2 linked regions of the Drosophila melanogaster genome follow. The protein of the gene in region 1 interacts with the protein of each later gene in a pairwise test. Each region holds a gene or a part of one and is shown in the gene's direction. Other genes may lie near its edges.

Evidence for each region. Proteins that work in one complex are often made in the same cells at the same time.
Region 2: the proteins of Sap130 (region 1) and CG13476 interact in a two-hybrid assay, tested with the Drosophila melanogaster proteins (one large-scale study listed by BioGRID).

Annotation. Positions count from the first base shown.
Region 1 is NT_037436.4:12,803,902-12,807,861, forward strand, and holds the start of Sap130 (Sin3A-associated protein 130), read left to right. Parts: upstream 1-2,000; 5' UTR 2,001-2,153; intron 2,154-2,284; exon of another isoform or gene 2,285-2,338; 5' UTR 2,339-2,363; coding exon 2,364-2,436; intron 2,437-2,785; exon of another isoform or gene 2,786-2,966; coding exon 2,967-3,929; exon of another isoform or gene 3,930-3,960. Other genes in the region: Atg1 (Autophagy-related 1), read right to left, coding at 454-543.
Region 2 is NT_037436.4:14,703,937-14,706,657, forward strand, and holds CG13476 (uncharacterized protein), read left to right. Parts: upstream 1-1,527; 5' UTR 1,528-1,607; coding exon 1,608-2,057; 3' UTR 2,058-2,221; downstream 2,222-2,721.

The DNA of each region.
Region 1 (3,960 bases):
ACAAATCATAAACATTGTTTTTAAAAACAGGTAGACAATTTTTGTATGCCAGTACAAAACGAATATCTACAATAAAAACAAAAAATAAGCGGTTATGAATTTTTTAAAATGTGCTGGGAGTTTTTTAATTGTCATTATTTTTTGACCTGCACTGTGATCAGCTGATTTGTCGTTATATTTTGAGACATTTAGCGTGGTGCTTTGGCTCTTGGTGCTTTCTGCGTGTTTACCTTTGACAATGGCGCATTGTTAATAACTTTGGGGCTTGTTATTGTACTATTTACAAATGCGACCAAGCCCCGCATCAAAACGAAAACAATAACAACGAATTAGATGTTGTGGAAAACAGGTTAGTAACATGACGGAATTGTTTAGGCTTAACATACATATACATATATGTATATATAGGTAAATGGAAGGTATTTATTTGTTTTGAAGAGTTTATTTTCTTACCTTGCGATGACGTCCTTTGTAGACGACGGCAAAGGCGCCATGGCCCAGCATATCCTTGGAGCTGTATTCATATTCCCCGACAATATTCATTGCATGCGAAAAAGGAGGAGGATGCGACGCCTGGAAGTGCTGCTCTCTCCCACTCTCCCTCTCTCTCTCTCACAGTCGTACACCCCCTCGCGCTCCACACTCTCTTTCGCTCGTGCACGCACGCTTGCTCTCCCCTTTTATTTTCTTCGCTCTTCTGCTTTGCTTTTGCTTCCAATTGCAATTGTGGAAAATGGAAAATCAATTTCTTTCCCCTTTGGCCAGCCACTAAATGTGATTCTCTGGCCCTCGACGATCTCCGAAATTTTCACGTAACACCACCACCGTCTTTTCCGTCCACCTGGCCAGTTGACAATTATCGGGCACACACTCTAATTTCACTTGTAATTGAATTAAACCGTTCTTTTCCGTGTGCGATTATCTCGGTTTTCAGTGTGGTATTGCTTTTAATTTGCGGCCCCACACTCGCGTACAAACACACACTTGCAGGATCGATGGCACACACTCTCTCACATACACACGCACGCACACACGGACGATCAGCGTAATTTCCTTTCGGTTTTTGAAAAATGTAGCTTTTTGGTCCCAGCGAAAAACTTTGCAAAAGGTGATTTTTCCAACTACTTCGCGAGAGAGACTAGTGGAAAAGGCAAGACGAAAACACAACTAAGCGAAGTGGTGGGTTGGCCAGTGTGGCCGCAGGTGGCGAACCGCCAATACGCCCCCGCGCGAAAAATACCACTTTCTTTAAAATACCAATGGGTCTTAATTTTTTGATTATATTCTTTTAGTTTTATTTTTGGGCCCAAATTTTCGAGGATAATAGTTGAATATTGTCAAGCTAATACCTATTTCGCTATATTATTATTATTGTTAAAACTAATGATGAAGAATTGTAAACGTGAACCATTGTTTAAAAGTACCAAAACAAGCCAATTTACTTGGCTTTACTTTACTTTTCTTCTCTTTAATGAAGAAAAAGTCACAAAATTGGGACAAAGAGTTTACTTATGCCAATGCCTGCAGAGCCTTGCTGTATCATCAGTTTCTGGATGGAAATGGAGACAAAACACAATACCAATCTATTAAATGACAATAACTATCAATTAAATGACTAATATTGGCTGTACACCAAGTAACCTATCCCCAATACTATGAAGAGTAGGCATTCCTCCTGGGTTGAATTTAACAAACTTCTTTGGTGTCTATTTTAATGAAGAGAAATCAAAGTTTTGACGATATATACAAAACAATATGTGTTAACATTGCATTACTTAGTTAAAAATCTATAAATCAATGAAAATATTGAATGAATTCCTTAATTTTATGATATGTTGGAAATACTTGTATTACTAATATGATTTATAAAATTCGTGCTTAAAAACCTATCATCCTAAAATGACGGTTTAAGCGGATAAAAAATTGTTTTGGTATTTCCTTACTTGTGTAATTTCCGAGTATTTTTCTGAACACCTAGCGTTTAGTATTTCATAGATTACTTATTGTTTTCAATCTGGTAACACTACTTAATTGAGCCTTGTGAAAAGAAGAGCGGAAAACAAGAAAAACTTCTCGTATTAATAGGTGGCGCGGTAAAAATCATCAAGTCTAATTTGCTGCGCTTAATGTGTGCGACCAATTAGCATAAAAAGGCAAGTTTATCTAAGAAAAATTTCAAAGTACAGCCTTTCTCAGACTGTTTTCGTGTGCGTGCTTGTGGAGAGATTTTGTGGATACATAGTGCGCAGTGATAAGAAGAGAAAGAGCGGGTGGTGTAGAAGAGGCGAAAATCGTGTGAAACGTGGAACAGAAGTCTAATGCCAAAATCGTCTTTCAGATATCGCAAAATCAAAGCTGGAATAATGAGTGCGCCTAGTGAGGGTGGCGCGGGAGGAGGGCCGGTGGGCGGTGGAAGTACAGCTACAGCGCCATCAGGTAAGTCCACCGATATCCAAGTGGAATATTTATATATATTTATCCCCATACGTATATACGTATTAGCATTGTCCCCGTGTATGCGTATGTATACATAACATTTGTGCCCCTCTCTTTTGCTCTTGCATACGCGCACTGTTTGTTTCCTATTCCTCTTTGTGCCTCACATTCGCAGCAACGTCTGCGTTTGTATGCCTTTGTTTTGTTGTTACTGTGCATTCGTTTCAGGGTTGCCAACTGCCCACAAAATGTTCTTATTTAGCTTGATCTCAAAGATAATATATTTCCAGTTATTTATCTAATAAATTTACTTGTTTGGCTCTTAAAAAATAGAAACATACATCTTTTTAAAATTGTATATTTATATTATATTTAATTTTCATCAAAAGGAAACAAATATTATTATTAAATTTAAAAGCCAAACAAATAAACCAATGTTATATGTATGTAGCTCCCCAATTTCACTTGTCCGTCCATTGGTGTTCCATGTGGAGCTTTTAACCGAAATCTCACAGTAGCCACCCGCACAGCCCCCCTGAAAACCATTAAGATACGCACCCAACAACTGCACACCCATGCAGTGCCATCGTTGTCATTGCTGCCATCTATATATCCATCATCATCATCATCATCTCTGGCAGCCACTGGATCTTTATCCGCATCCGCATCCTTGGTATCGCACTCACATCCGCCCCTGCAGCTGCGCGGCGTCATAAACAAATACTCATTGCCATCCCATTTGCCATCCTCTGCAGCGCACCCGGCGGTGGCCGCCAAGATCACCCACGTGAAATCCGACGGCGGCGGTGGGATATCCATTGCGGGCACACCGATCCTCAGCGGAGGCACAATTAAGGTGGCGTCAGCCAATCAAGTTCAACAAACTTCCCTAGGTGGCACTCCAATTGCTCTGAATGCAGGACAAGCGACTACGGCAGCTTCGATCCGTGCTATTGGCGCTGGTGGTCAGTCCACACAGGTGCGGGTGGTGATGCCAATGATCAAGCAGCTAGAGAATGTTACGGCCACCGGAAGGACTCAGATAACAGCCATACCAGCTGCACCGGCGAGGAGTGGGGCGAATGCATCGATCACGGTTACCAGGCCCGTAACCCAGGCCACATACTTGCCGCGAGCCAGTGTGACGGCCACCCAAATGGGAGGCGTTGGCGTTGGAGTTGGCCAGCGGCTCGTCACGCCATTGAGAGCCACATCATCGGCCACGGTTACGCCCACAGCGCCAACAGTGCTGAGCTCAACCGGAGGATTCGTACGCGGAGCAACAGCATCGGTGAGCAGAAGTGGAGTGGCGCTCACATCGCAACCATCGTCGGCTGTCATCTCGTCCAGCAACAGTGGTGCTTGGATGCAGAGTCAGGGACAGGTGCAACTGATCCGAACCATTCATCAGCCGCGCCAGCGAATTATAACGACATCCGCGGGGGTTTCGAATGCCAGTGTAGTGACCACTACTCCAGTGCAGGCGCCAACAGGTATGTTGTATCTTTTCTTACTCTGCAACAT
Region 2 (2,721 bases), 1.9 Mb from region 1:
TTATTGAGGCAAATATATATAAAAGAAAAAAAATAAATAAATAAGGTACATTTTGAACTTCACTATAAACAAAAGTCAACACGTCCTTAGTCTCTTAAATATGAATTCGACTTTAAAATCGAATAGTATTTGCAATCCACATCAGAAATAAAGTTCTCTTAATTCAGACTAACAAAAAAGATTGATGTTCTTATATATGCATTCACATAAGTTCGACATGGAAGAAAAAATAATCGGAAAATTGCCAAAGCTTCTTCCTTTTCAAAAAGTGTTCTGCATTTGTGTGGGTATAAACGTGTCCTTGTGAGTGTCTGCACTCATGCATAGAAATAAGCCGATAAAACCCTGACAATTGTGTCATGGAGTAGCGTTTTAGTTTTGGGATTGGACTTAATGCCTCTTGACTTCAATTTGCATAGTCGGCTTAGCAACGTTCGTGCAATGATTGAATGACAAATTGATAGAATTCGGCATTTACCAGTTGACAGCTAAGGAAGAGCTTTTTCCGGTCGGAGGAAACGGAAGAAAAGTTAAACCGATGATGGAGATTTCAGTTCAAATTCTGTTTGAGCATGATTTAATTATCGTGCCGGTTAAAAAGGACTTTTCATTTGCCTACAACAATGTTCACAACGAGTTGCGCCTTTTTAATTATAAAAATCAAAATTCATGAAAAGCTCTTAGAATATAGAGATATGATCTTTTAGTGTTTAAATCTCTTGAATGCGAGTATAACATAATATATATATAAATAGGCTTTTCATCATCACATATAGATGATTTAATCCTTCTTCTCCAACAAAATTTTAAGCCATTCCCAACAAAGTTGTTAAATTGTTAACAAAGCGAACATTTTCACTCAAAAAACGCCCCTATCGCATTGACTCTGACCTAGACCGCAAGCCGTTTAGATCCCGCAGGACTTCCCATTAATCCAATTAGGGCTGAACATATTTGCTTCTCATTAAAAATGAAATCCTTTGCTTTGGACCGGAATCAAGAGCTTTGACCAATTACCAAGCGTTTTTTCATTTACGTTCGCACATTCGAAATAAAAAATTAACCAGGAAGGTCGCAGATAAAGGCATTGACAGAGCAGCTTAGAAATCTCTTTGTCAGCAACTTAAATGAAAATTAAGACATCTGCTTTCATTTAGCTTAAGTGCTTATCTTGCGAAGGACGCAAAGGCAAAGGACACGTTTGCCCACAGGACAATCAATTATGAATGCAACACCGAGCACCATCAGCTTGGCAAAATAGTCTGTAATAAAAGTTAGGTTCATGAGGAGTGCGATGCTTTTGGGCGGCTAATGATGATAATTATATGTTTTAAGTGACATTGATTTGTCGCCTTCAGGATGGGCCGGGAAATTCCCATGATGTTTAATTCATTAGCCAGCTAATCGGCTTACTCTGATAATTAATATAATTGATGTCAGTCATCTTATTGTAGCGCCACCCAAGCAGGCTACTCATTCCCAGTTGCCTCTGTGTCATTTCTATGGATCTAAAATAGGTTTCCCAGTACTATTGACGCCCTGAAAGTAATCAGATATTCACACATAAAATAAATTCAAATAAAATCTGTATATTTTGTACGCTCACAATGAACATGAGGGGAATGGCCAAGCGTTCTATTTGGCTGCAATGTCTTCGGGAAAATGCCACCAATATGCGCCTGGAGCACGAGGATCTGGGACGTCGCATTGCTGTTTCTTTGGCCAGTTCCCAGAAAGCTCTAGTTGATATCGAAAACTTGAATCAAGAGCTGTTAAAAATGAAGGACACAATCCATAATGCCATTTCCAATGTTATGGGCTACGAAAAGAAGTGTTGTGAATTGCTCCTGGAAATTTTGATTAAAATAGTTGAGAACAACGACCTGGATGCCGAACTAAATCCCAAAATGATCTCCAAGGCGTTTCTCGACTTGGATCCGAGTTCCGACGAGACAGAAGTTCTGAATGACCGTAGTCTTGCAGCGTCTGATTTTAATCAGCAATATCCAAAAGATGTGCCGGATTCTATTGATATAAACATAACAGAAGACCAGTAACCATTTTAAATAGGATCCAAGACCGCACCAATTCGATTACTAACGTCTTAATTTAATGCGTTGTCAATTCCACCTCACACATTTAAAAGGAATAATAAGGTGGTCAGGGCTACAAATGTTTTATATTTTTTATCGATTCAATTAAATTTGCATGGTGAAATGACAAAACCCATTGTCTCTTTCTTCAGTTTATAGTTGTGGGAAAGTTTCTAAGACGTTCGAAATGTTAAAACCCTTGAAACGAAAAAACTTAGGATGACCATAAAAATACAAAATTATGAACAGAAAGAAAAGAGAAAAGCACGCCAACATCCGCACAAATTGTCCTGCAGAAAAGTCAAGACAAAATCACGTATACGCACTGTGACAACCCACAGCCTGGGTTAAAGACAATCCCAACTGGTAATCCAAGTCGTGTGCGTAGCCAGCATCCATGTTCCTAAACAATTTGTCGGCGATTTGTCGGCAAACTTGAGCCATATACGCCACACATACGCACCGAGTGAGCCATATTGCACATACGCCCCGTGTGACCCACAGAGGAATACAAAGAGTAACGAGGTTAAGTGACCCAACCAGCAAAACAACCTGTTGACTCAGGCTCTCTGCTCTCTCACTCAAAGCAAACTCACTCATCGGTGGGTTTGTTTTGCTCCGCTCTTTC